Pelodiscus sinensis: one gene and its partner. The protein of the gene in region 1 interacts with the protein of each later gene in a pairwise test. Links are inferred from orthologs where the notes say so. Each region holds a gene or a part of one and is shown on either strand. Other genes may lie near its edges. The genes, in order: PRR22 and NELFA.

Region 1 (15,444 bases):
TAAGGAGCTGGGGCAGTTTGTTGTCATTGTTCTCAACCAGCCTTTCTTCTTGGGGCTGAGGCATCTCAATAAAGGGAGAGTCGTGGAGTGGGTTGGGGACCAAATTCACTTGCTCTGTCCCACTGGCAGGGCTCTCCTGCTTGAAATAAGGCATGATGTATTGGAGGTTGCTGGGGATGTGGGGGTAAGGCGGGTAGGGAACTGTCTGGATAGGACTCTTGAGGTATCTCGGGGGGTCCAGAAGATACGTGTTTGGCGACGTTGATCCACCGGTGAGTTTATAAACCGACGGCTGCACAAAACTGGTGGTTGCCCATTCTATGCGGTAAATCCGGGGATCAAAGAAGCACCCACAGGGCGCCATCTGGAAACCTGGGCAACAGAGAGGAAAATGGTCGTGAGTGGGGACCCCAGAGCCCACAAGCAAAGACGTCCTCTGGGAGCGTGTGACTCACCCCCAGCCAAGAGCCACTACAGGGCCAGATCCTCAGCGGGTGTAAATCGGTGCGTAGCTCTGATGACTTCGTGTGGGCTGTGTCAGTGTCAGCACTGAGGGTCTGGCATGAAGGAGCTGGTTCTAGGCGTGCGAGTTGCACGTGGAGTACACGTCTGGTCAGGAACTGGTGCATGTGGAAAAACTTGCACTGATCTGGGGCTTGGGGCAAACACAAGTCTGGAGTCCAGGCGCAATTCTCATGGAATCGCTGGGCCAAGGTCAGCAGGGAGCCTACTGTGGTGTAAGTTACATGTTCGCTGTGGGCGGAGCACAGTGCAGACATGGCTGGCCAGCACGGGGTGTGTCTGTGCTAGGAAGATGACATGGGCATAGCTAGATTGTCATATCTGTATCTCTATCTGTGTAGACACAACCTACAGTGGTGGAAGGGGTATTTTCATAGATGAAGGAACACTGCCACCCTGACACACAACCTAACTTACAAGTGTTAACCAATCCACAGTGTAACTTGCAATGATTTACCATTCACATGGTGAGTGTCAGCATGGCTGTGTATGTGTGCATGCATGAGTGTGTGCATAGATGAGTGAGCACTTGTGTGCCTGTGAGTGTATGCATGAGTGTGTGCATGTGCGTGTATGCATGAATGTGTATGTGTAAGCATGTGTGCATGCAAGAGTGTGCGTGCATGCACGTGCATATGTACAAGTGTGTGCATTTGTGCATGAGTGTGCATGTGTGCACGTGTGTATGCGTGAATAAGTGTGCACGTGTGCATGCATGAGTATGTGCATATGTGTGTGCATGAGTGTATGTGTGCATGCAAAATGAGGCCAACAGGAGAGCGTAAGGGAAAGCAGACCTTCTCACAGGATGCTTTGCACCCTTTGTTGTCTGTAACAGATGAGATTTGCAAGGGAGTTAGGTGCCTGCGACAGGCTGCGCACCACCAGCCCCTGAAGGGGATGAGGTGGCTAGAGGGGCCAGTTAAGTGCCTAGGCTGCACCTGCGGCAGGAGCCAGGGAGCAATGAGGCTGGGGTGTGTGCACGGCTGAAGGCAGAATGGGGCCGCAGGGAGGAGAGTTGCAGTCATTCTCCCTGAGGTGAGGGAGAGACGGGAGCTAGGCCTGGAGGGAAGGACGAGTCCGGAGGATGGGGGAGACAGAGTCTTATAGAAACACTCTAGGAAGCTGCCCAGGGAAACAGCAGCAAGGTGTGAGGCTGTGCAGCCCTGAGCTGGGGGGGTACGGTCCCCGGGCTGCAGCCCAGAGAGGAGGGGGCAGGCTGGGGGGGAACGCTGGAGTGAGCATCTGCAGGAAGAGGCATCAGACTGGCAGAGCTCATCCTCGGTGGCCACAAGGAGGCGCCCCGCTGTGAGTAGAGTACCCGGACGGTGCCCAGCTCTTAGGAAAATTCCACCCTTAGGCCACGTCCATACGAGCATGAAGATCAATGCTGCGGCATTCGATTCAGTGGGCCTAGTAAATACCCGCTAAACTGAACGCGGTGGGTGCCCCCGTCGGCCCAGATAAGCCTCGATTGGCAAGGCCCGCTCGTTGCACACAATGGAATTAAGGTCTGTCCACTCCGGCTTCGCCATTAACGTCACTGGAGTGGCGTGTCTTAATTCAAACTTCCCAGTAAGTGCAGACGTGCCCTTAGGGTTCCCAACCTTTTCGAGCATATGGCCCCCTTTTCTGTCTGGTACAATTTTACGAACCCCCCGGCAAGGGGAACGGTGGGAAGCGGGGGCCAGCACGTCCCTTGGCCTGTGCTGCTTCCTCAGCTCCCACCCCCTCCATCCCCTGCCCATCCACGGAGGACACGCCAAGGGGGCTCTCGTGGCCAAAGGTGGCTCCTGACCCAGCACTGCGCTTGGCTGGGCACAGAGCCGTGGGGGAGGGGAAAGAAAAGAAAAGATGAAGGAGGTAACGTAGTGACAGATGATGTGGGGAAAGCTGAAGTACTCAATGCTTTCTTTGCCTCTGTATTCACGGATAAGGTTGGCTCCCGGACTAATGCTCACAGTGACGCAAGATGGGATGAAGATGGACAGCCCGTGGTGGGTACAGAACAGGTTAGGAACTATTTAGAAAAGCTAAACGTACACAAATCCATGGGTCTGGACTTAATGCATCTGAGGGTACTGAGGGATTTGGCAAATGTCATTGAGGAGCCTTTGGCCATTATCTTTGAAAAGTCGTGGAGGTCTGGAGAAATCCCGGATGACTGGAAAAAGGCAAATGTAGTGCCCATCTTCTAAAAAGGGAAGAAGGACAATCCAAGAAACTATAGGCCGGTCAGTCTTACCTCGGTTTCTGGAAAAATCATGGAAGGGATCCTTAAGGCATCCATTTTGAGGCACTTGGAAGAGAGGAAAGTGATTAGGAATAGTCAGCATGGATTCACAAAGGGCAAGTCGTGCCTGACCCATCTGATTAGCTTCTATGATGAGGATGGCTCCGTGGACGTGGGAAAGTCAGTGGATGTGATATACCTTGATTTTAGCAAGGCTTTTGATACGGTCTCCCACAATATTCTTGCCAGCAAGTTAAGGGAATGTGGATTGGATAAATGGACAGTAAGATGGCTAGAAGGCCGGGCCCAGCGGGTAGTGATCATCAGCTCAATGTCAGGATGGCGGTCGGTTTCTAGCGGAGTGCCCCAAGGTTCGGTTCTAGGACCGGTTTTGTTCAATATCTTTATTAATGACCTGGATGAGGGGATGGATTGCACCCCCAGCAAGTTTGCGGATGACACTAAGCTGGGGGAGAGGTAGATATGCTTGAGGGCAGAGGTAGGGTCCAGAGTGACTTAGACAAATTGCAGGATTGGGCCACAAGGAATCTGATGAGGTTCAACAAGGACAAGTACAGAGTCCTGCACTTGGGACGGAAGAATCCCAAGCATTGTTACATGCTGGGGACCAGCCAGCTAAGTAGCAGTTCTGCAGAAAAGGACCTGGGATTTACAGTGGATGAGAAGCTGGATATGAGTCAACAGGATGCCCTTGTAGCCAAGATTGCTAATGGCATACTAGGTTGCATTAAGAGGAGCATTGCCAGCAGACCCAGAGATGTCATTCTTCCCCTTTATTCGGCTCTGGTGAGGCCACATCTGGAGCATTGTGTCCAGTTCTGGGCCCCCCACTACAGAAAGGATGTGGATGCATTGGAGAGGGTCCAGCGGAGGGCAACCAAAATGATTAGGGGGCTGGAGCATATGACTTATGAGGAGAGGCTGAGGGAGTTGGGTCTGTTTAGTCTGCAGAACAGAAGAGTGAGGGGGGATTTGAGAGCAGCCTTCAACTTCCTGAAGGGAGGTTCCCAAGAGGATGGAGAGAGGCTGCTCACAGTGGTGAGGGATGGCAGAACGAGGAGCAATGGGCTCAAGTTGTGGTGGGAGAGGTCCAGGTTGGATATTAGGAAAAACTATTTCCCTAGGAGGGTGGTGAAGCGCTGGGATGGGTTCCCTAGGGAAGTAGTGGAGTCTCCATCCCTAGAGGTGTTTAAGTCTCGGCTTGACAAAGCCCTGGCTGGGTTGATTTAGTTGGGACTGGTCCTGCCTAGAGCAGGGGGCTGGACTTGATGGCCTTCTGAGGTCTCTTCCAGCTCTGTTTCTATGAAAAGAGAAAAGCAAGGAGCGAGAGGGCTGGAGCGTAAATTGCGGCATAGCTGGCGGCGGGAGCATAGATGGTGCCTCCTGGGGTATCAAGATCCCATCCCAAGGGCGGGAGGCATCGGCGTGCGGTTGGTCACAAACAGTGAGCCCCGGGTGAGAGTCACCTGATAGAATCATAGAATAATCATAGAATCATAGAATAATAGGACTGGAAGGGACCTCGAGAGGTCATCGAGTCCAGCCCCCCGCCCTCAAGGCAGGATCAAGCTCCGTCTACACCATCCCTGACAGATGTCTATCTAACCTGTTCTTAAATATCTCCAGAGAGGGAGATTCCACCACCTCCCTTGGCAATTTATTCCAATATTTGACCACCCTGACAGTTAGGAATTTTTTCCTAATGTCCAATCTAAACCTCCCCTGCTGCACTTTAAGCCCATTACTCCTTGTCCTGTCCTCAGAAACCAAGAGGAACAAATTTTCGCCTTCCTCCTTGTGACACCCTTTTAGATATTTGAAAACCGCTATCATGTCCCCCCTTAATCTTCTTTTTTCCAAACTAAACAAGCCCAGTTCATGAAGCCTGGCTTCATAGGTCATGTTCTCTAAACCTTTAATCATTCTTGTCGCTCTAAAAAGTCCTAGTCCCATAGTAGGCCTGATCCTTACTTTTCCTTTCCTTTCCTTTCCTCAACTTTCTGTGGACCCGCTACAGTACCATCTAGGGATGTGAAGGAGTAGCACTATCGACTATTCAGTCATCCTCCCCACTCTTAAAGGGACGGAGAGGAGCTGGCGTGCAGAGACACCGGCTCATTCTCTGGTCCCCCGCTGGCTCTCAGACAACCCTCACGCTGCCACTCTGCATTTTTAAGCGGCAGCCGCTGGTCCTGCTTCTCTGCTTCAGTACAAGAGCCCTCCTACCCCCTCCACTGCTGCCACTCTGCATTGTAAAGGGACAAACTCGTCTTTGCACGACGACTCCTCTCTGTCCCTTTAAGAATGCAGAGCAGCAGCCGGGAGTTGTGCCCTGAGCTGAAAGGGGGTGCTCTAAGCGCCCTTCTTATCGACTAGTCGAATAGTTGATGGAAATTCCATCGACTATTCGACTAGTAAATTAATCGATACATAACATCCCTAGTACCATCACAGACCCCCAGGGGTCCACTGACCCCAGGTTGGGAACCACTGCCTGAGGGCTTATCTTCACTGCTGCAGAGATCTGTGCTGCAGTGGTTGATCTTCTGGCATTTGATTTAGCGGGTCTAGTAAAGACAGGGCACCCCTGTTGATCGCGATCCTCCTTGCAGTCATGAGGAATAAAGGAAGTCGACGGGAGGGAGCATTTCTCCTGTTGACCTCCTGCTGTGGGGACGGCGCCGAAACTCGGCTTAAGGATTCTGGTGGTGTTATTTACGTGGCTGGAATTGCGTCTTTTAAGCCAACGTTCATCTGTTGTGTAGACCTGCCCTTAATTCTTATTGGTCTCTACATCTTGTGTCCTAAGCATACCTGCAGGGGGTACTGTGAAAACATCTTTCTCTTGACTTGGGGGATGGTACAGGTTGGACGGTCCTGAAATACGAACACAGAAAAGTCTCAGCGTCTCCAGTATGAAATGATGCTTAATTTGATGGACATTTTGAAAGGGTCTGAATTATTAACTTCAGAGGATGAAGGAAACCTGGGAGAAAATGGAAAGGAGTAGGAGAGAACCCAGCGGTATATTTCCTGAAGAAAATACATAAGAACATAAGAACAGCAGTACTGGGTCAGACCAAAGGTCCATCTAGCCCAGTAGCCTGTCTGACAGTGGCCAGCACAGGTGCCCCGGAGGGGGTGGACCGACAACAATGATCAAGCAATTTGTCTCGTGCCTTCTATCTCCAGCCTCTGACTAACAGAGGCCAAGGACACCATTCCTACCCCCTGGCTAATAGCCTTTTATGGACCTAACCTCCATGAATTTATCTAGCTTCTCTTTAGACTCTGTTATAGTTCTAACCTTCACAGCCTCCTCTGGCAAGGAGTTCCACAGGTTGACTATGCGCTGTGTGAAGAAGAACTTTCTCTTGTTAGTTTTAAACCTGCTACCCATTCATTTCATTTGGTGTCCTCTAGTCCTTATATTATGGGAACTAATGTATAACTTTTCTTTATTCACCCTCTCCACACCACTCACGATTTTATATACTCTATCCTATCCCCCCTAAGTATCCTTTTTTCTAAACTGAAAAGTCCAAGTCGCTTTAGCCTCTTTTCATATGGGACCCGTTCCAAACCCCTCATCATTTTAGTTGCCTTTTTCTGAACCCTTTCCAAGGCCAAAATATCTTTTTTGAGGTGAATACCCAGAACTGATAAATCAGGGGATGGGAGGGAGAGTTTAAAAGAGGAATAGACAGCAGAACAGAGAACTATTTATCTTACCGACTGATGCAGGGTTATCTGGAAGGACAAATGTTTGAAGTGGCCTGGCTGGCTGGCTCTCGGCTTGATCTAAGGGTCTGGGCCCATAGGCATCATGTTGCTGGTAGAACAGTTTTGGTTGCTGCATAGTTGCTGTGTCAGTTTAAAGGACAGTCAGGTACGGGACTGCTCGTGACATGTATCTAGGAGAATTAGCTCCAGTGTTGCCAAGGCTGAGAAGTTCTGTTTTGATGGTTACTCAGCAAAGAATTCCAGGTAACAAATGAGGTTCTAAGTCCCCTAAAAGTGCTGGGATAGGTGACGCCAAAGGTAAGGGCTGTCTGAGTTTTAGGGCAGGACGTTTAAAAAACAAAACAGACCGTAAAAGTTTGATCCTGGGGTGGCCTTGTCTGGGGAGAGGGGTGTTGTAGGGGAGTTGAGTGGTGTTGCAATGCGATGGTGCCTTATCTTTAATGGGGTGGGTGCAAAGCGCTCTCCCTTGCAGCTCAGCGTACAATAAACAACAATTGCTTCTTCATTGAATCGTTTAGCTAGTTTGTCAGGCACGGATCTGCTCCAGGTCCTCTTGCAGGCTCAGCGAATGGCACGTGCGACTCCCACACGCCTTCTCTCTAGCTCTCGCTCAGCTGGCTCCGGCACAAGCTCCGGTACAAGCCTGCATTTCCCCATGGAACGTTCCCGGGGGTGGGGGGATGCAGGGCACCAAAGAGGCTGATGGGTACTAATGATCCCTCAGGTGCTCCGAGAGTTCATCTCTAGGGGTGGGAGAGTAACCCTTGTAGATCTGTTTCTGCCCCACCACACATTGGGGGTGCAATTGTGGGGGCACAGGACTTCAAGGGGGAACATTTTTAAACACTTAGCAAAATTGATTTTTTTACTCCTAAAATAGGCACCTAACCCCCCTAAGCCTAAATGAACCATAAGACTGAACCATGCCAGGAACTCCCAAAAGGCTGTAAGAAGGAAGCCCCTGGGGTACAGTTTTTAAGGGTTTTTTTGTGTGTGTTCACATCCATAGGAGCCTGTTGCGGTGGGCGAGGTCCAGGTTGGATGTTAGGAAAAACTATTTCCCTAGGAGGGCGGTGAAGCACGGGATGGGTTCCCTAGGGAAGTAGTGGAGTCTCCATCCCTAGAGGTGTTTAAGTCTCGGCTTGACAAAGCCCTGGCCGGGTTGATTTAGTTGGGATTGGTCCTGCCTAGAGCAGGGGGCTGGACTCGATGACCTTCTGAGGTCTCTTCCAGTTCTAGGGTTCTATGGTCAGATCAAGAGGGCTGACTTACGCGGTTAACGTGATCCCGTCTTTACTTCTGGCATTAGTCAGGATCTGAATTTGGTTCTGTTATCAGATCCTAAGAGGTGGAAATCTGCTGCTGCTGGCCCCACTCCCTGGGGGCCATGCTGAAAGATTTGGGGCTCAGGGAAGGAGCAGAGCCCAAAAGGGGCTTCCCAGGCCGCTTCTGAACAGATGCTCCGTAGATGTCATCTCAGCTCCTTTGTGTTGCCCCAGGCATCAAGCAGGAACGTCCTTCCTGGTGGAGGCCCCTCTGCGAAGTGGGCAGTGAGAGCAAAATTGTCCTGGCTCTTCCCTCAGAGCATCAGCCGAGGGAAGAGGGCAGGGCGGGGACACCAAACTTCTGGGCTCTGCTACTGCCTGGTTCTCCGTTCGCTGACTCCGGTGCCCTCGCTGGGGTCTATGGAGTTGCACTGGTGCGAGTGGCCAGATAATCAGACCCCTCAAGTGCTGACTGGTTGCTCTGCTGTGTTGGGCTAGGAGCTTCCCCGCCTCCCAGGCCCTCCAGGAGACCCAGCTCACGCCAGCATCTTCTAGGCCATCACAAGGGCTCTGCTCATGCTGTGGGCAGAACTGAACAGCGACTGATGGGAAGGGTCCTTGCTAGGGTTGCCAGGTGTCCGGTACCGGACAGTTCGGTATTTGCACTCTCTGTCCGGTAAAAAAAAATCAGAAAATACTGGACACATTTGCTCGACAAATATTTAGCCCGCGTGTTCGGTATTTTTTGGGAGACCATCTGGCAACCCTAGTCCTTGCAAGGCTGGGAGATAGGGGCCTGCATGGCCAGGTAAGAGGAGACTTCGGCATAGAAGGAGAATTTGAAATTGTAGGTTGAACCTCTCTAGTCCAGCACTCTCTGGTCCGGCAACATCCGTGGTCCGGCGTAATTTTAGATAGCCAGATGACCACTTATTATGGGTGTGGCTAAGTTTTCCGTGGTCCCATAAAGTTTGTTTATAGCCACCAGCCCTAGCTCTTAGTGTTCTGTGCTGTGATTTAGTGCTCATTTACCCCTTGTGACGACGCCTTGGGGTTTTCCCGTCTCCTGCACCCCCGAAATGGCACGAACAGACTCCACCAGCCAGTAGGATAGAGGGAGTTTATTGCTTCTCCAGGATACAGCACAGATGTCATCTGGTTACAGGAACTGGGGCTAAGAGGCCTCAGTGCCCCCCCTTGAGATGGGGGGTGGCTGGTCCCTACAATCCCAGCCCCCCTCCCCTGCTCCTTCTCCCCTGCTCCCCAGACAGAAACTAACTAACTCTCTTCCAGCCCTGTCCCCCAGCCAGGGCGGCATTCCACCTTCCTTTGTTTCTCTCCCTGGGGGGTAGCTGGTCAGACAGGTTTGGAGCCCCCTTTGCATAATGACTCACCCCCTGCCCTGCTGGGTCGCGCTACAGACAGCAGAGGTCGCCCACAGCCCCAGCAAGGTACCCCCACTACGTCGCACCCCTCAATGTGTTCTAAGAGAGCAGCAAGCAGTGGAAGTGTTGGTCATGCTGCTAGACAATACTGACGTCCCGAGGTTCGGAAAATTCTCTGGTCCAGCACCTGTTAGGTCCTGAGAGTGCCGGACCAGAGAGGTTCAACCTGTATATTCAGAGAATAATGGTTGCTCCAATGTGGGCAAATCCAAGGAAATTTCCGATTGGGAGAAGAGGTTTGGAAAATCAAAGTCTTTATCTGGACATTAGCTAAAAAAAAAGACATGAAGTGGGGGAATAAAATCTGCCCATCGCTCCCGAGCAAGAAGCATGGTCGCTAGCAAATTCAGGGATTCACAGCTTGAAGGGATGGAAATTAAAAAAAAAATTCTCACAAGTAAAAGTATCCAACATTTACATCTGGTCACAAATGGACCCAGACTAGGAGTTTAGCCACTTAACTCCGTCATACCAATGGGATGATTCAGTATTGTCAGCCAAAGCGCAGATGTTCTCCTACTCTTGAATTGAGCAGCAGAGTTTAACACACAACTGGCGCCAGGGGGTGGCACTGTGTCCTCACACAAATTCGTCTTGCTAACCGACTTAAACACTGCATAAGGTTTTTGCATGTTTCCATGTTAAGGATAGATCTATAGCTTCTATTTGCCACCTTTATGGATGTTTTCAAAAACATAAGAGACATTTAAAATAATTCCTTAAATACACATTGGGATGTAGGTTTTACAGTTCAGGCAGTTGGTATTAATTGTTATTATATATGTCTTTTCTTGTACTTCATTTGTCAAGATCGCAAAGTCTTTCATAAAGGAGTTTAAAGTCTTCACCCCATTTTACAGATGGAGAAATTGAGGCCCAGAGATAGGGAAGTGCGGAAATTGATTTTTTTTGCATGTCATGATGAATTTTAAATTTGTGGGTTTTATTCATTTTATGTGAAATTTCCAAAGTAAAATGAAATCTTTGAGGGTATGTCTACACTACCCCACTAGTTCGAACTAGCGGGGTAATGTAGGCATACCGCACTTGCAAATGAAGCCTGGGATTTGAATTTCCCGGACTTCATTTGCATAAGCAGGGAGCTGCCATTTTTAAAACTCCTTCATTTCACGAGGAGTAACGGTAGTTCGAACTAGGAAGCCTAGTTCGAACTACCTAGTTCGTGCCCCGTGTAGCCGCGCTGCATGGGGTTCGAACCAGCGGGGTTTTAAAAATGGCGGCTCCCCGCTTATGCAAATGAAGCCCGGGAAATTCAAATCCCGGGCTTCATTTGCAAGTGCGGTATGCCTACATTACCCTCCTAGTTCGAACTAGGAGGGTAGTGTAGACATACCCAGAGTGATATCAATTGCCCTGCAAAAAAAAAAAAAAAGAAAGGAACACAAAATTTGCAATTTCGTCTGTTTGTTTCCAAATTGACTATTTCTGCAAATGTCCTCCTGCGAAAATGAAACATTGGGTATGTAGAGTTAGGTGAAATAAGAGCAGGCAATTTTGCAAAATAATTTCTTAAAATCATACCTGCAACTTCACTCCACTTTGCGAATAACACCAAATTTACAATACGTTGGACTATTAAGATGATCCTCTTGCATGTGATTATTTGGGACATGGCCAGTCATGATGCTATGGTTACAGCTGTGTTGAATTTTGCATTTAAAGCCAAGCTTCATCTGCTTTGTATGAAAAGCACCCGATATCCTCAAGGAGGGTGCAGTACTTACTCTGAGTACCAAACACATTTACAAATAAACCACTTAATTAGTGTGAGTTTAAAATAACTTTTAAATGGGCCCTTTTAGGGAATTTAGTAGCTTCCTTTGTCCCACATGACCTCAGCTCTGTTATTGTCTATTCGCTCAAAAATTGGCAGATAAGTGAATCTAGTGCAGCGAGTAGATTTTGGAAGTAACGTTTAGCATTAGCGGTGATGTGTTACTGTTCTTCATGATGAAAGCTTCTCCTCCAACAGAGACTGAAGAAAAAGGGCCGTTGTGGAGAACGCCACAAAAAAGGTCCTGTTTCAAAATGGCCACTAACCCCCGCTGTTGTCAAGAGTTAAATTGACCACACGGTGGATGAGTTTGTACCTCTGTAAATGGGGGAATTCTGTTTACCTTCCTCGTAAGCGTGGTGGGGAGGTTTCATTAAGTGCCCGCCATGTGCTCGGATGGCCTTGAATAGCCCTGCTCTCAGTTGGATGGGATGGGAACTGCTTGGCTGTGTGTCATAAGCCCCGTACTGCTAACCGTGATTCTCCTTTGGCTGTTGTAGAGCAGGAAGGCCTGAGTTCTGTCCCACTGCAGTGCAGAGTAACCCACAGAGAGCTGCGAAGTGGCTCACATCCCGCATGGCACTCACACGTTTGGCAGTTCTTCCTGCTGCCTAGGAGGGGGAGAGACTCCCCTCTAGACCTCTCAGGGAAGGTGCCCTCAGTGTCCCGCAGTCTCTGCCACAGATTTCCCACACGGGCTGGGCTCTGCTCAGCATCTGCCGTGCCTCCTGCTGAGATAGTGGCTGCTTCTCCTCCTTTCTCCTTCCCCCGCGAGTGACTGCCGTGGGCTCTTCCCCAGTCCCCTTTGGGTCTCTCGCTGGAGGAGACCCTGACAGGCCTGGCACCTGGGCCCGGCTCCCATTTGTGGTTCGGCTCGCTCGGGTTAAGAACCTGGGCTTGGAGGGCCCAGGCCATTGCTGCAGGCGGTGGGGGATGGTTCCCGGCTGCTGGAGCCCCAGGACTCTGGCTCCATAGACAGAGTGGGCCAGTAGGCCCCTAGGGCCTCCCCAGCTGCTCCTCCTCCCCGGCCTGCTGCTCCTTCTCCGAAGGCCAGACAGGCTGGAGAGGAAGGGCGCCCATTGCTGGGCCGGGGCTCCTTCCTCCGTGCCTTGCTGAGGTTCCTCTTCCTCCTCTCCAGCCCTCCACCGCCCGCCCGGGGGAAGGAAGGGGCTGCCGGGTCTCCGCTGATGCCACCCCTGCCCCCCTGAGGTGGGAAGAGAGGCGGCACAGCCAGGCCCTCCTGGAGCAGAGAGTTGCTTGGATGTGGGGAGAGGCCCCCAGAGCCTGACTACTCTGTTGGGAGCCACATACCCCCCCCTTTTCTTTCTTCACACAGTCTGACTCGTTCACAGGCCTCCCGCTTTCTCACTCGGCTCCGAAGCCTCCCCAGGCTTATAAGGACCCATACAGGCGTGTGGGGCGCTGAGACCACCACTGCCCCTGTGACGCCAGAGGGGTGAGGATGGGCAGGAGGAAGGTCCCCAGCCCACCTGAAGGAGAGCGTCAGAGGCGAGGTGGGGCATCAGAGGAGGGAGCACCCCCGACTGGTGTGAGGCAGGCGGTGGGGCCTACCAGTGGACTCTTGTGTGGGCAACGCTCGCAATCAACATCCCAAGCAGGGGGTTGGTGTGAGGCGAATACGGCCCTACAAGGCCACCTCTTACTCACATGTTTCCCAAAGGGTGAGGGGCGGCCCCTTCAGGACCATCACGGACTTGCCGGAGGTGGATCTCTCAGTCGTTCTTCCGAGTGTCAGCTTTCATTTTCTCCTTTGTGAAAAGGGAGCGTCGCGCTGTTGTGGCTGCAAAGGAAACCCCTTTACAACCTGACCTGAGTCTCACCGCGGGCGTGACATCTGCCTGACCTCGCGGAGTCTCCCCGGGTGACTTGCCCCCTTCATTTCAGTAGATGCTAACTTAGATGCCAATCATAATACAGGTGGCGTGGCTATAACCCAGACCTCCCTTGTCCGGCAACATCTGCAGCCTGGCATTCATGAATAGCCTCCCAGGGCTTCCAGAGAGCTGCAAATGGCTGATTTGCGGCGTTCAACCTCAGGGACAGTGGAGGTTGGAGGACTGGGCTTTTCTCCTGGCCCCTAGTCGTGGGGCTCCACAGGTGCCTGGTCCCTTTCCTCGGGTCCTTGATCTATCAATGCCAGCCCCTCTGCAGCTGCTGGAGCAGGGCTCCACAGCCATCAGCATCAGGGGAGTTGGCCTTTGCATCCTCTGGTCTGGCCAATTCTCTGGTTTGGGACCCGTCTGCTCCCGGGGGTGTTGGACGGGAGAGGTTCGACCTGGACTTGAAGTGACAATTCTGTGTCATTACTCACCAAAGCCTTGTCGAACCCATAGAAAGGATCAAGTTATGAGGAGCTAAGCCATGGGTTGGCCTTTGATGCTGCAGGGTGGCGGTAGAATTGGTTTGGCTTTCCTGCAAGAGTAGCTCATCTTTTTGGGAACCATAGTATTACATTAGACGAGGTTACTCAACTTTGGAAGCCCCGGGGTCCACAATGATACTCATAGCACATGCCGAGGGCTGCATCTTAAGTGTGGTTGCATATATATGCAAATATATATGCAAATAGCTTCTTTCACACTGACGGGCATGAATACAAAGATTAAGGCAAGACGACACAACACACAGGCCCCATTTAAGTCAGTTCTGCTGATATTAATAAAATGCAACATCAACCTGATTTCCACCCATATGACAGCACTTTTAATGAGCAATGACAGTCCAGGAATTTAACTACTAAAATGCATATCACCAGAAGACCATTGTATTGACTATGTTTTGGTTTTGGCTCCCACCCGTGGGATGTGTGTTGAGCACCGCAGGCCAATTGTAAACCCAAATTGCACCGCAGGCTACAAACCCAAATTGCACCGCAGGCTACAAACCCAAATTGCACCGCAGGCTACAAACCCAAATTGCACCGCAGGCTACAAACAAAAGGGCCGTGGGCAGCATGCATTACAGTAAAGACATAAGCAGCTGCTGGGGCAAAGCACCACTGTTCATCTCCTCCCCACCCCATCCAGGAGGGACAGGTCGTGCCCAGGTATTCTGTGCGGCTCCTGCAGACGTGGCAGGGTCTTCTGAGCAGTTTCCCCTCTTCCTGCTGACATGAAAGCTCTGAGCTCCCCCGAAAGAGAGGATTCACTCCCTGCATCTGGAGGTCTGGGTAGACATGTTCCGATGGGGGATCAGCCCATTGTGCCAAGAAGCATCCCAAGGCATATGGGTGGTTTGGAAGGAAGCTCTGAAAAGGGAGACTCGTGGCCAATTTGGGGAGGAGGGAGGGTGGGCTTGGCCGCAGGGATTACAGTTAGAATTGGAAAAGGTACAGAGATGGGCAACAGAAATGACGAGAGAGTTGGAACAGGCCCATATGGCGAGAGATTAAAAAGACTTGAAGGGAGGGGCTATGAGGAGGGATATGATAGAGGTCTATAAAATTACAACTGGTGTGGAGATACTGAACAGTGATATTTCAGAGGGTAGCCGTGTTAGTCTGGTTCAGTAAAAACAACAAGGAGTCGTGTGTCACCTGGAAAACTAACACATTTATTTGGGCATAAGCTTTCGTGGGCCTGAGCCCGCTTTGCCAGATGACTATTCCTCGAGTAATTGAGTGTTGTTTACGCCTCTTAACATAAGAACCGGTGTCACCAAATGGAATGAATAGGCGGCAGGTTTAAAACAAACAAAAGGAAGTGTTTCTTCACACAACCCACAATCAGCCTGTGGAACTCCTCGCCAGAGGATGTTGTGAAAGTCAAGACCATAACAGGGTTCAAAAAGGAATTAGCCCAGTTCCCGAAGGACAGGTCCAGCAATGGTGATTAGCCAAGACGGTCAGGGGTGCAAACCTTTGCCGTAAGTGTTCCTAACTCTATGCTTGCCAGAAGCTGGGATTGGCTGACAGAGGATGGATCACTTGATAAATTGCCCTGTTCTGCTCATTTCCTCTGGGGCATCTGGCACTGGCCACTGTCGGCAGACAGGACACCGGACAAGATGGCCCTTTGGTCTGACCCAGTGTGGCTGTTCTTCTGTATCTCCCTGTCCCCCTGGACGTATTTCATCCTTGGTTCTTTTTAGGGTAAGGACATGACTAAGGGTATGTCTACACTTGCAGCCTAATTCGAACTAGGGCTGCAAATGTAGGCATCCGGAATTGCAAATCAAGCCTGGGATTTAAATATCCCGCCCCTGATTTGCATCTTCCTAGCTGGGCGCCATTTTTTGAAATTTACAAGCCCGAAGTAACTGACTCATATCCAGCTTCTCATCCACTGTAACCCCCTGGTCCTTTTCTTAGCCTGTCAGTCCCCAGCCCATAGCAATGCTTGGAATTCGCCTGTCCCCAGCAATGCCATATCTGACCTGGCTGAGTGCAAGGCATTCAGA
Region 2 (15,040 bases), on another chromosome or scaffold:
AATATGGACGGCTTTGCAGCATTTCAAAAGATTATTTTATAGTGTCACCTGAGCTGCAGTTCCATCAGTCTGAGACAAGAGTCAGTCAAGTATACCCCACAAAGAGCCCTAAACTTTTCAATTCACTTCTCTTGCTCCCAAATGCCTCTATCTGGTAACTTTCAGGTCACATAAGAAATCCTACCTCCCAACCGCCTCCCCCCCCCTTTTTTAAACTTAAGCTTACTGGTGCTTTTATGCCAACTCTCATGCAATGAGGGCTGGGGTCTTGATATGGAGGGATCATATATGGCTGGAGTGAGCTATTCCTATTTTCTGGTTTTGGGAAGGCTATTTTATTGTGTTTGTATTACATTACAAATTCAATTATACTAAAAGAAAGACCCTAGAGCTGGGACAGACACTTAGCAAGGAGTTAGACTATGTCTCAAAGTTACACAGGAAGCAGATATACTAAGTAAGTATCTTTTTAACACAGACTGCAACACCACATAATAGAATGAATGACTACACAGAAAAACCTACAGGAGTCATGCTGAGTCACAGTACCCTGAAACGGATTGGTCAAAACACAATGCTTGTGCATACACTTCTTCTAGGACATTTGGTTGTCAATACTCAAGGTTGCAGCGTGCACTAATGCATGTTACAATAAAAGCCCTTTTATCCAGCATGTGGGAGGAAAGGTACCAGTAAATTAACAATATCGGTTAACTAAGGGGGGGGTTAGTGTACGGAAGGTATGGGACACAGGCTCTGCGAGTGGGCTTGGGTTCAGCTGGGGGCTGGGAGGGGCTCAGGGTGCCAGATGGGGGAGTGAGTGCTCCCCTCTAGTGGCTTCCGCAAGGAGCTCCCCATCCATGCTCCTCCTGACGGCGCAGCCAGATTGCTCTGCTGCAAACAGGTACGCTGCCACCATCTGCAGAGGCGGTGCCCCCTGGAGATTCCATTGGCCGTGGTTCCCGGCTCATGGGCCAGAAGGCACAGAGTCAGCTCCCTACAAGGGGGGATGGAGGCAGTGTACCTGAACAGCCACCTGGCCATGACTCTGCCAGCAAAGTAAGAACAGGGAGCCACTTGTGGAGGCTGCTGTAGGTGAGCACCCTGCCCCGCCCCCGTCTGACATCTTAAGCCCCTCCCACATCCCAGCCGGCTGCCAGGCCCCAAATCGACTGCACTATAAACCAGGGATGTTAGATATTGGATAACTGAATAGTTGTGTAAATACATTAATTCTTATCAGTTACACGACAATTCGACAGTTTGTCGATTGGCAGATTGCACTGTAGCCCCACTCCTGGGGAGGTCCCTGCTACCCTGTGCTGCTGCCTCTGTATCGAGGAGAGGGGGTGGGAGGCACTGCGGAGCCAGTGCTGGGGGAACAGGCTTTTAAGCTGGCTCCTGCTCCCCATCCCACTTGCTGCCTCTGATACAGAGGCAGCAAGGTGGGGGGGGGGAAATGTGTATACTTGACAAGATTAATCAATAAGCCTAGGCTTATCAGGTAATCATATAGTTGACTCCTCATTGACATCCCTACTATAAACCAGACTGTGTACAGATCAGAAATGACGGTTAATTAAGCATGCTGGTTGGTTAAGTGCCAGAAAAAAGGGGCTTTTGCTGTATTTACAGTTTCCCCACACCCTGTTTAGAATTCTACTGTCACAACTCAGCAACAAACATATACTGACAGTGGTACCCATAAACATGAGTCTCTTGCAAAGAGCACACATATCTATTGAACGAAAAGGAGAATCAAGATGAACCAGCACATTATCTGAATTGGTATTGTCAGGAAACAGAACAATGTGGGGAATGAAATAGAGTAGAGATTCCTCAAGACTTAAGTTGTGGAAATGTATGCTCCAGAATGACCTTCCATTGTTAAACTATTCCCCCATATATCAGCCGCTTCCTGATTTCCAACTCAACACCACTTCAAAACAGCCTACTTAGTTAACATCCTCCTACACCAGTTAGCCATGCCAACTCTGATTTCCTAGCCCTTAGCCATTTGAGCTTCAACATCGTTCTCCTACCCCTCCATAGGGTGCGTCAACACAGCACCCTTACCTCAAACTAAGCTACGCAATTTGCACTATGCAAATTGTGTAGCTTATTTTGAGATTTCAAAACAGCTCATTTTGAAATTAAATTTCAAAATAAAGTGCTATTCCAACAAATCCCTTAATCCTTGTGGAATGAGAGTTACAGAGATTCCGGAATAGTGTGCCTGTTATTTTGAAATATATCTCGAAATAATGGGTGTGTTTAAAGATGAAGAAATGCTATTTCAGGATACTTCCAGTATCCTGAAATAGACCTGCTGTCTAGACATAGCCAGAGAGATCCCTGCTCTTCCCCTCTCAAGTGTGAGCACTTGCTGCTGTCCTCCCTAGGCTAAGACTCTTAGGCTGTGTCTACACTGCACCCCTTTTCCGGAAAAGGGATGCAGATGAGACAAGTCGGAATTGCAAATGCAGCGGGGATTTAAATTTTCCCCGCTGCATTTGCATGAACATGGCTGCCGCTTTTTTCCGGCTCGGGGCTTTGCTGGAACAAAGCGCCAGTCTAGACGGGATCTTTCGGAAAATAAAGCCTTTTCCGAAAGGTCCCTTATTCCTCTTAAAATCAGGAATACGGGACCTTTCGGAAAAGGCTTTATTTTCCGAAAGATCCCTGTCTAGACTTGCGCTTTTTTCCGGCAAAGCCCTGAGCCGGAAAAAAGCGGCAGCCATGTTCATGCAAATGCAGCGGGGAAAATTTAAATCCCCGCTGCATTTGCAATTCCGACTTGTCTCATCTGCATCCCTTTTCCGGAAAAAGGATGCAGTGTAGACACAGCCCAGCTGGTGTCTATAAGGGGCTTAGATCATCTTAACTATGCCTCTGAAAGGTGTGAATTTTTCACAGCCCTGAACAATGTTGATAGGTGACCTAAATTTTAGGTGTAAACTAGGCCTTAGATCAGCAGTTGGGCAATAATTTTTGCAAAGGGGACAATTAAAAAAATGTGGTAGTGGCTGCAGACTGGCTCCAGGTCCCCCGGAAAGGGCAAGGCCTCTGCTGAAAGAGGCGGTTCCCTAGAGGTGTCGTGCATTCCTAGTGGGGGGAGGAAAATTCGTGCACTTCCCGCTTCCCGCATGAAGTCTCTTGTCCCCCTGCCTTGCCAGGGGCACGCAACACCCAGGGAACCACCAGCTATTTTAAACAGCCGTCAGCTTCCTCTAGGCCCGCACGCCCCTGGAGGGGGAAGGAGACTTTGCGCACTCACCACCCCCAGGCCAATTCCGACCCGGGGCAAGAGAATGCATGAAGTCATTCACTGTTCAAAACAGCTGGTGGCTCCCTTTAGGCATTGTGTGCCCTTGGTGAGGGAAGGGAGCAGCCAGCCGCTTTGAACAGCAAATGACTTTGTGTATTCCCCAACTCTGATCTTGACTGGCCTGTAGAGTGGCAGGGAGAGTGGGCAGAATGTATCTTGCCCACTCTTGCCTTAGACTCAGTTCCTGTACTGATGGCAGCTTGAGGGAAGAGAGGTGAAGGAAATTTGGCATGGCCTAACATCTATATCAGTGGTTTTTCCCCCATTTGCAGACTCCTACAAAAATTCAAATGGAGGCGCAGACACCTTTGGAAAATTCAGACAATCTGCGGACTACAGATTGAAAACCACTGCCCTCTATAATTTGTTTCTCTGGCCTAGTTCCAAGCACAAGTACTGCTGGCCCAGAGACATAATCCCCAAAAAGGCAGTCAAAAGCACTAGCTGTTGTACATGGTGAAACTCATCAGCCTAAATACGAAAAATAATCTGTCCTGTTCCTCTCTCCCCTCTCTGTTTCAGACAAGAAGGCAACGGTGGAACCTTTTGAAAAAGAGCACAGCACTCACAGGAGCGCCACACTTGAGTCACAGGAATAACAATGCCTAGTCCTTAGGTAACACTTTAATCAAAACACTATACAAAGGAGGACAGTACCAATATACTCATTTTACAGATGGGCAAAGCGAGGTGAGAGGCACACTCCGCCAAGGTCACCCATCAGGCCAGAAGTGCCCAGGCCCTATGAACGCACAGCTAGCACTCTCTCCTCTAAGACACATGGGGGGCAGGCTATCCCACCATGGGCTGGCCGCTCAGGGGTCGGCAGCTATGTATCCTACGGGCAGCGGTAAAAGTAACAACGTTTCTTACAGGTACTGTCTTACCACAGCCCGGGACCCTGCCAGCTCTTTCAATAGTGCCCTGTTGGCTTTTGCCCCAGCTGCGCGCCAGGGTGCCTGAGGGCCCCCTGCCAGGGGAGGTGGAGAAGGGGCACCAGGCACAGTATAGGTAACTGGCTGGGGGGCGAGTAGGTACCGAACGTAACCCCCAGGGGGCAAAAGCGGCTGCGGGTGCAGTGCTGAGCACCCCTCTGCCACCAGGCGGGCAGGACTGAGTGCAGCGCCCCCAAGGAGCACCCGGGGGGGGGGGCAATACTGACACGCCCCCCCCCCCGCTCCGCGCGGGTGTGTCCGGCGGGCCGTTACCGATACCCTCCCCCACCCGGAGGGTGTGTCCGGCGGGCCGTTACCGATACCCTCCCCCACCCGGGGGTGTGTCCGGCAGGCCGTTACCGATACCCTCCCCCACCGGGGGGGGTGTCCGGCGGGCCGTTACCGATACCCTCCCCCACCGGGGGGGGGGTGTCCGGCGGGCCGTTACCGATACCCTCCCCCACCGGGGGGGGGGTGTCCGGCGGGCCGTTACCGATACCCTCCCCCACCCGGGGGGGGGGGTGTCCGGCGGGCCGTTACCGATACCCTCCCCCACCCGGGGGGGGGTGTCCGGCGGGCCGTTACCGATACCCTCCCCCACCGGGGGGGGGGTGTCCGGCGGGCCGTTACCGATACCTTCCCCCACCGGGGGGGGGGTGTCCGGCGGGCCGTTACCGATACCCTCCCCCACCGGGGGGGGGGTGTCCGGCGGGCCGTTACCGATACCCTCCCCCACCGGGGGGGGGGGGGTGTCCGGCGGGCCGTTACCGATACCCTCCCCCACCCGGGGGGTGTGTCCGGCGGGCCGTTACCGATACCCTCCCCCACCCGGGGGGTGTGTCCGGCGGGCCGTTACCGATACCCTCCCCCACCCGGGGGTGTGTCCGGCGGGCCGTTACCGATACCCTCCCCCACCCGGGGGTGTGTCCGGCGGGCCGTTACCGATACCCTCCCCCACCCGGGGGGTGTGTCCGGCGGGCCGTTACCGATACCCTCCCCCACCCGGGGGGGGTGTCCGGCGGGCCGTTACCGATACCCTCCCCCACCCGGGGGGGGGGGGTGTCCGGCGGGCCGTTACCGATACCCTCCCCCACCGGGGGGGGGGGGGTGTCCGGCGGGCCGTTACCGATACCCTCCCCCACCGGGGGGGGGGGGGTGTCCGGCGGGCCGTTACCGATACCCTCCCCCACCGGGGGGGGGGGTGTCCGGCGGGCCGTTACCGATACCCTCCCCCACCGGGGGGGGGGGGTGTCCGGCGGGCCGTTACCGATACCCTCCCCCACCGGGGGGGGGGTGTCCGGCGGGCCGTTACCGATACCCTCCCCCACCGGGGGGGGGGGGTGTGTGTCCGGCGGGCCGTTACCGATACCCTCCCCCACCGGGGGGTGTGTCCGGCGGGCCGTTACCGATACCCTCCCCCACCCGGGGGTGTGTCCGGCGGGCCGTTACCGATACCCTCCCCCACCCGGGGGTGTGTCCGGCGGGCCGTTACCGATACCCTCCCCCAGCCGGGGGGTGTGTCCGGCGGGCCGTTACCGATACCCTCCCCCAGCCGGGGGGTGTGTCCGGCGGGCCGTTACCGATACCTTCCCCCACCGGGGGTGTGTCCGGCGGGCCGTTACCGATACCCTCCCCCACCCGGGGGGGTGTGTCCGGCGGGCCGTTACCGATACCTTCCCCCACCGGGGGTGTGTCCGGCGGGCCGTTACCGATACCCTCCCCCACCCGGGGGTGTGTCCGGCGGGCGGCTCCTCCGACGCCATTTAACGGGGAGGGGGCGGGTACCGCCGCCGCCACCACACGGGGGCGTTTGCCGCCCTCACCCAGCCGCCGCTTGCTGGGGCAACTGGCCCCGGGCACCTCACTCGCTCTCGCAGCCCTACCCTGCCCCCCCCCCCCCCCCAGCCCGCGGCAGGACTCGCGCGCTGGAGCCGCTCCCGCCTCGCCCGGTGCCCGCGCAGCCCCTGCCCGGCTCTCACCTCATCCACCGCCCGGCGGGGCAGGTGCAGCATCCCCAGCAGCAGTTTGAGCTTGACGGCCGAGGAGAGGCCGTGGAAGCAGAGGCGGATGTTGTCGATCACCGAGGCCGTGAGCAGCGAGGCGATGCTCGGCGGCGCCCACAGCTCGTCCGTGGAGCCCAGCTTGTTGTGCAGCCACAGGCCAGTGTCGCTCTCCCGCATCGACGCCATCTTGGGAGCGGGGCGAAAAAAGGGGGGATTTTTAGCAGGCATTTTATGAAGACACCTATACGAAGGGAGGGCGAGGACCCCTGTGGGCCGCCGTTTCGCTCGTAACCCAAAATGGCGGCTCCCTCGCGGAGAGGCTTCGCCATGGGGCGCAGGGAGTTCCGTAATCTAAAATGGCGGCGCCCTGTGGGAGAGGAACAGCGAGCTCGGGAGCAACGCCTTCCGTAGTGCGAAATGGAGCCTCCCTTCCGTACTGCAACATGGCGTTCCCCATGTCGCGGGAAGCCTCGCAGGTTGGCTTCCCCGCCCTCTGCTGGCGTCCCCCAGCGCTTCTCCAAGGGACGGGGCTGCAGCCTGCGCCCGTTCCCTCAGCCCTTCTCCCTCCCCACACTGTCACCTCGCCCCCGCCCCTCTGCTCCGTCCTCCCGCTTCCAGCCCCACACCTGCCTCCCCGCTGCACAGCTGGTCTGCGCGCGCCCCTGCTCCGCAGCCTGGCTAGGCTGTGCCCGCTGGACGGCTCCGACCCTTTCTGACTCGGTGGCGGCTTGGTAGAGCTGGCCGGAAAAAATAGAAATTTGTATTCAAAACAACTGATCCGACTCCAGCACGGGACTCTTATCTGTACCCACCGCTGGCAGCTGGGCAACTCTCTTCTCCTTTGGTCCTCTGTTTCCCCCCCTCTCATCTTCCTTTCCAAACAACACACCCAGCCTGCTACCCAATTGACAGGTGATGAAATCTACTTGCAATGCTCTGCTTTGACATAAGCGAAGTTGAAGCCCTTTTTCATCATCTCCCCAAAGATTTTAGTAGGGGGTGTCTGGTAAGAGGAGGAAGTAATCTCCGTGCATAAACAGGAGAAACTGGGAAACAGGCCCTTTTCATACAAGTGTACACACACAAGCCTAACTTCCTGTGCAACAAAGGGGTCTCAGCTTCTTGCACCTGTGTAATGATAAGCACATGCTTAGATTAAGGACCTTTATAAATACAGCTTCAAATGCATATTTTAGTATATCAATAAACAAAATGGGGGAACCTTTCTGGGGATGCATAGAGACAGAATGAACTTGGTAAACTTGGCATGCTTAAGGCTTTTTTTGTTTTTGTTTTTGTTTTAAACATGCTCATTCTTTACTACCAGATAGTTGCAGAGTTCACAGTCTGGCTTTGCTGTGGGAACTGAGCTGATAGCACTTTTTGCGGAAAAGCGTTCGTGCCAATCTAGACGCGCTTTTGTGCAAAAAAAAGCCCCAATCACCATTTTTGCGATCGGGGCCTTTTGCGCAAAACAAATCTGAGCTGTCTACACTGGCCCTTTTGCGCAAAAGGACTTTTGCCCGAACAGGAGCAGCATAGTATTTCCACAGGAAGCACTGATTTCAAACAGTAGGAAGTCAGTGCTCTTGTGGAAATTCAAGCGGCCAGTGTAGACAGCTGGCAAGTTTTTCCAGTCTAGACGCAGCCATAGAATAATCAATACTTATCATATGCATATGACATATCTATCTATCTATCACTCATGCACACACACACACAAGCACACTCCGTCTTGCTGTTGTTACCAAGTAGTTGCTCCCCTTAACTTCACTGGCCAGGTGAGTTAGATGGGGGAGGGGTGAAGCCGGGCTTCCACCCCCTCTTCAACTGCTGTAGCTGTCTGGAGGTGCTTGGCTCTCAAGTCTTACTCATTCTCACCTCATTCATTCAACAGGGCAATTGATTACAGAGTGGGGGGAAGATCTTATTCTACTCCTAGCAAAAGACATTTTTACCACTTTAACTATATACTCAGTTTTCTACAAGTTTTCTATATAGGGTTCTAATACAAAGTTAAAAGGTTATATGGATTCAGGTTCTAATACAAAATTACAAGGTTATATGGAGAGGCACAATGCCAAGTCATATGAAATAATACATAGATTTATCTACATTGTTGATATTAGTAAAATGCAATATTTACCTGATTTCCACCCATATGACAGTACTTTTAATGAGCAATGACTGTCCAGGAATGTAACTACTAAAACTCATGTCAACAGAGCATGAAGGTGCCAGAGTCTTTCAGAGAAAAGGTACCCAGAATTTAACATGGGCAAAACAACTCATTTTTTTGGAAATGGTTGATCTGTTTTGGCTGGAGAGGGAGAGAGAAAGCAAGATTATACCACCTCCCTCCAGGATCTGAACTTCTACAAACCCAATCACATATCTTATGGCTGCTGTGGGTTATCCTTTGGCAGAGCTTCCTAATTAAGAGTACGGTAGTGTTTTTAGCTATCAAGAAGGCAGCATAAGAGTTTCTCCTTTCATTCAAGTAAAATTAACCCTCATCCCCTTTCTTGTTTATTTTTTACAGTGAAGGATCAGGCATTTAAGAAGGGAGATTACAAGACCTGTCCTGAAACTCAGCTATGGAAATCAGGAAGAAATCAGGAAATCATCACCTTTTGCCTGAGAACAGAGCCAAACACAAAGAGGTTATTTGGTGGCAGGAGATGTCACTTCTAACTTTTTCTCTAAGACTTAGTCTACACTGCAGGGTTTTTGTGCAAAAAGCTTTTTGCAGAAGAGATCTTCCATAAAAACTTCTTATGCAAAAGCACGTCCACACCCCAAAAGCTCATCGCAAAAGCAATGTGCTTTTGCACAGAAGAGTGTCGACACTGCATGGACGCTCTTGCGCAAGAAAGTTCTGATGGCCATTCACAGAATTCTTCTGATCATTGTACAGGTCAAAAACTTGTCTCTCTCACCAACAGAAGTTGGTTCAATAAAAGAGATTACCTACCTTCTGTTGCTCATAGAATCATAGAGCTGGAAGAGACCTCAGGAGGTCATCAAGTCAAGCCCCCTGCTCAAGGCGGGACCAATCCCAACTAAATCAACCCAGCCAGGGTTTTATCAAGCCGAGACTTAAAATCCTCTCAGGGTGGAGATTCCACCACCTCCCTAGGTAACCCATTACAGTGCTTCACCACCCTCCGAGTGAAATAGTTTTTCCTAATATCCAACCTAGACCCTTCCCACTGTAACTTGAGACCATTGCTCCTTGTTCTGCCACCTGTCTCTGCTGAGAACAGCCTTTCTCCATCCTCTTTGGAACCTCCCTTCAGGAAATTCCAAAGGGGGGGAGGGATAGCTCAGTGGTTTGAGCATTGGTCTGCTAAACCCAGGGTTGTGAGTTCAATCCTTGTGGAGGCCATTTTAGGGATTTGGGGCAAAAGTTTGTCAGGGATGGTACTTGGTCCTGCTGTGAAGGCAAGGGGCTGGACTCAATGACCTTCAAGGTCCCTTCCAGTTCTAGGAGATAGGCAATCTCCATTAATTTAAAAATTTATTTTATTTATAAGTTGAAGGCTGTTATCAAATCCCCCCTCACTCTTCTCTCCTGCAGACTAAACAAACCCAAATCCCTCAGTTTCTCCTCATAGGTCATGTGCTTCAGCCCCCTAATCATTTTGATTGCCCTCTGCTGGACCCTCTCCAATGCATCCACATCCTTTCTATAGTGGGGGACCCAGAACTGGACACACTACTCCAGATGTGGCCTCACCAGAGCTGAATAAAGGGGAATAATCACTTCTCTGGATCTGCTGGTAATGCTCCTCCTAATGCACCCTAATATGCTATTAGCCCTCTTGGCTACAAGGGCACACCATTGACTCATATCCAGCTTCTCATCCACTGTAATCCCCAAGTCCTTTTCTGCAGAACTGCTACTTAGCCATTTGGTCCCCAGCTTGTAACAATGCTTGGGATTCTTCTGTCCCAAGTGCAGGACTCTACACTTGTCCTTGATGAACCTCATTAGATTTCTTTTGGCTCAATCCTCTAATCTGTCCAGGTCATTCTGGACCCTACTCCTGCCCTCCAGCATATCTACCTCTCCCCCTAGCTTAGTGTCATCTGCGAACTTACTGAGGGTGCAATCTATCCCCTCATCCAGAGAATGCTCATATCCTGGGACAAACACAGTTATAACAACACTGCACACAACATGTTTTGAAATTTCTTAAGTTTGTAAAACAACAAAGTGGAAAAAAATCCATTATGTGGAAACTTTTAGACACTAGTATGAGTCATCAGCAAAGTTGGAACCTTTACCTCTATAGCACAAGACCTCTGACATTTCCGCTAACTAGTAGTGGTTGTAAGTTATCATTCTGTAGGCTGACTGGCCACTGGATGAGTCTGAGACACACAATTTGCCAGTGGGTTTTACAGATGTTTGCTTATAGCAGAGGAATAGCAGGCTTCAGGTATGAGAAATATTGGTTTGGAAGGGGCCACAATAGATCAACTAGTTCAGTCCTTTGCACTAAATTAGAAGTAAGTATTATCTAGACCATCCCTGACAGATGTTTTTGTGACATGTTCTAAAAACCTTAAATGACAGAGATTCCACAATGTCTCCAGGTAATTTGTTCTAATGCTTAACTATCCACATAGTAAGGGTTGGTTTTTTTTTGTTTGTTTGTTTAATTTAAATCTCTGAAGTGTAAGACCATTACTACTTATCCTTTATGCAATGGTTAAGGAGAACAGTTTATCACATTATTATGTACCTCTCTAGTTGTCTCTTCCGCAGACTAAACAAACCCAATTTTTTCAATCTTTCCAGATAAAGACCTAAAAATTATGACCTAATCATTTTCGTTGCTCTCCTCTGGACTTTCTCCTATTTGTCCACATCTTTCCTGAAGTGTAGGGCACAGTATTCCAGCTGAGGCCTCATTAGCGCTGAGTAATACGGTATAATTAATTAACATGCTTTGTATTCAGTACTCCTGCTTATACATCCAAGATTGTTTACTTTTTTGCAACACTATTACATTGTTAACTCATTTAGTTTGTGATTCATCTTTGGTTCTATTTAAGGTTCTGGAAGGGTGTATTCTCAAGTGGTCATAAACTCTTCTGCCCTTATTCTGTCTTCAAAACCCTGCTGAAAGCCTGTCTCTTCTGTCCCTTTCTCCTCCCTTAACTCCCAGTTCTAGTCTGGTCCTGGGATCTGTGTTCCAATCTACCCTCTCATGTGGTTATTTTCCTTTCTGGATTACAGTTACCCAGAGTAGGAGGAACTAATGTATTAGAAGGTACAGGAGAGTCTCCCTGCTTTCAGCACTATAGTGACTTGAAGAAACTGGGAGCATCAGTTGCAAAGGAAGTCTTTCTCAGCCCCTGTACTCAAGATGGTGTATGCTTAGTTGCTTTGTGGGGATAGTATATGCAAAGTTATTTTGGCATACAGAAGCTGTGAAGAGATGGAGCAGGTCCAGTACTGACAGATTCTTCAGAGAATTTAGCTGCCAACATTTTAACAAGTCTGCTGATAATGTGTTAGATGAGATTGGCCAAGCTATAAGCCTTAGAAACCAGAGTTTCTCATGAGACCATCCTTGACAGGGCCATCCTTAGGGGGACACAGGGCAACATACCCAGTACTACAGGTGCTGGGCCTCAGTAAGGATGTAAGGGTATGTCTACACTCCCCCCCCCAGTTCGAACTAGGGGGGGGTAATATAGTCATACGGAGTTGCAAATGAAGCCCGGGATTTGAATTTCCCGGGCTTCATTTGCATAAAGCCGGCTGGCGCCATTTTTAAATGCCGGCTAGGTCGAACCCCGTGCCGTGCGGCTACACGCGGCACGGACTAGCTAGTTCGGATTAGGCTTCCTACAAACGAGGAACGAGGTGTACAGCTAGTTCGGATTAGGAAGCCTAATCCGAACTAGCTAGTCTGTGCCGCGTGTAGCTGTAAATGTTCTCCATCTGGGAGAGAGCAATGGGCCTGGACTGCCTATTGTGAGGAAGCATTGTTCAATGAATGCCTATTCTAACTAGCACTGCTGCATGGACAATGGCTCTGAGTGGCCAATATACACCTGAGGAATGCGTCTGGAAACATGCAGACCGGCCAGTACCTCATGGCTGCTGGCATGTGAAACACAGACAGGTCACTGGATCATGTGACCAGCTCCCATTTGGGAGACATCAGGGATATAAAAGTGCCATGAATCTATCTCCATTTTGTCTTCAATCTTGCTTCTGCTTCCAGATGCAGCCTTGCTAGGGACAGAGAGCTGGGAAGGATTGCTGACCCATCCTAATACAGGATGTACACCAGAGACTTCTAAGCTAGCAGTTTGTAACATCTCTGCTCAGAACCTGCATCAAGAACTTGGTAATTGATGTATGTAATGTATTCTCCTTAACAATCTTGCTCTCAACCTTTTATTTCTTTTTTTAATAAACCTTTAGATTTTAGATTCTAAAGGACTGGCTCAGCATGCTCTTGTGGGTAAGATCTAAAGCAGTGGTCTCCAACCTTTTTTACACCCAAGATCACTTTTTAAATCTCAGAACAGGCGAAGATCTACTGCCCCGCCCCTTCCTTGAAACCTCGCCCCTTCCTTTAAGCCCCGCCCTCTATTCTCCTCCTGTCCATCACTTGCTATCCCCAGCCCTTACTTACACACTCTGATAAACAGTTTATTTTTAAATTATACGATACATACAATTAAAATCACGTGTTTATAGTTATGAAATAAATTGTCTGTTTTTTATTCATGCTATTTAAATCTAAAATGAAGCATTTATAATTATACATTTTGTGGGGACAGTACTGCGGCTGGGGGCAGGGGAGAGGGAAGAGAGTGCTGGGAGGGCAGAGGACAGGGTTCTGCAGCAGGGGACAGTGTGCCAGTGGAGACAGGTTTCTGCAGCTGGGGACAGGGTGCCAGTGGAGACAGAGTTTGGGAAGTGGGACGGGAATAGGGACAAAGTTCTGTAGCTGGAGACAGGGGAGTGGGGACAGAGTTCGGGGAGTGGGGACAGAAATGGGGACTGAGTTCTGTGGCTAAGGCCAGGGGAGTGAGGACAGCATTCTGTAGCTGGGGACAGGGGAGTGGGGATGGGAGTGAGGACAGCATTCTATAGCTGGGGACAGCATTCTATAGCTGGGGACAGGGGAGTTGGGACAGCGTTCTGTGGCTGGGAAGTGGGGGCTGGGGAGTGTGGTGCCAGTGGAGGCAGAGAGTCCCCTGCATCTCCCTCCTCCCAGCATTCTCTCCCTCCCCCCCCCCCGGGAAACCAGCGTGTGCCTGCCCCGGGGCCGATCCCGCGCAGGGAAGCCCCGCGCAAACGTCTGCCCCGGGGCCAACCCCCCCAACTGCGCACGTGCCAGAAAACCCCCTGCGCGCCTCCCGCGTGGCTGACTCCCCCTCCTGTGCGGTGCAGGGAGCTGATGCTTCCTCCCGCAGTACACCCGGCAGAGCAGCTAGCACACTTCTGGAATTGCCAGAAGTGGCGCTAAGCTGCGGGACTTCTGAAGCTGACACTACCTCCGTTTTTTCTTGAGGTAAGTAGGGCTTCTGGGGGGTGGGAGGGAAATGGGGGCGGGGCGGACAGGATGCCTTGCGAGCGACTGGTCGAGGCCTCGAGATCAGCCAGTAGCTCACGATCGACCTGTTGGTGACCACGGATCTAAAGTGTAAATTGACTGGGAACTGTGGCTGGTTCTTTAGGACAGGGAGGATCTGTTTGGAGTTGGTGAGATCGGGTTTTATAACCTCTCACCTGTGCGTAAGGCCCGGGGCTGATTGTAGCACAGGGAGAGCTGGGGTGTCTGAGGGGTTTTGCTTGTGTGGCTTCCTGCTGGCCGGATTGGCAGCTGAAATGCTTTGTGTGACTGGATTGTGGCCTATTTTGGGAAAGGTCTCCAGTCGAGGGCTTTAAGCAGCCCTGGTTTTGAGCAATTCGTCCTGAGCTGACACCCTCAGCAGTGCACAGACCTGGCCCGGTCGATCACACAGGGAGCCTGGTGTGGGGCAGCAGCAGGGATCAGCCCTTTCTACCACATCAGCAGGAGCCAGACCACCCAGCAAACTGTTCCACTCCACCGTCATCTCCCAGCCTGTTGCACTCCACTTCATTGTGGCAATAGGAAGCGCAGCACCTTGACCCCAGTCCCAGAGCACTCTGCTTCCTACTGTCATGGTAAAGCGGAATGCAGCAGGCTGGGAGATGGTGACAGAGTGGAGCAGGTTGCTGGCTGCTGCTCCTGCTACTATAGTGAATGCAGGTGGCCTGATCCTGCTGCCTCCCCCTGCCAGGCCACCCAGGTAATCTCCCAGGCCACTTTGCACCCTGCAGATCCCGTCCTTAGGATTGTTGAGGTGGCTGCTACAGGCCCCTCCACCCCAAAGCGTGGGGCCTGGGATGGTTGCCCTGGACCAGTGTTGTCTTCAAATCATCATTGTCAAGTCCAAGTCGAGTCTCAAGTCACTACAGTTCAAGTCTCACGTTGAGTCTTGAGTCCCTAAAGTCACTTTCGAGTTAAGTCTCAAGTCTTAATTTAAAAAATGTCAAGTCACTTTTGTACAGCCATCAATATCGGCATTTTCGGACAATTTTTTCACCAAGTCGATTTAACAAAATTAGCAAGTCTCAAGTCGAGTCTCATGTCACAAACAATGAACCTGAGTCGAGTCTCAAGTCGAGTCACCTAGGCGACTTAAGTCGGACTTGAGTTCAAGTCGTGGGACTCGAGTCAACAACTCTGCCCTGAACCATCCTATGAATGGGA

The links.
Region 2: the proteins of PRR22 (region 1) and NELFA interact in a two-hybrid assay, tested with the Homo sapiens proteins (2 studies listed by BioGRID). The two-hybrid records come from large-scale screens. The link is inferred for Pelodiscus sinensis from reciprocal best matches to the Homo sapiens genes PRR22 and NELFA.

What each region holds. Positions count from the first base shown.
Region 1 is NC_134729.1:21,432,282-21,447,725, forward strand, and holds the start of PRR22 (proline-rich protein 22), read right to left. Parts: upstream 6,708-15,444; 5' UTR 6,636-6,707; coding exon 6,509-6,635; intron 5,654-6,508; coding exon 5,591-5,653; intron 2,822-5,590; coding exon 2,768-2,821; intron 373-2,767; coding exon 1-372.
Region 2 is NC_134715.1:118,482,385-118,497,424, reverse strand, and holds the start of NELFA (negative elongation factor A), read right to left. Parts: upstream 6,639-15,040; 5' UTR 6,495-6,638; coding exon 6,243-6,494; intron 1-6,242. UniProt on the Homo sapiens protein: Essential component of the NELF complex, a complex that negatively regulates the elongation of transcription by RNA polymerase II.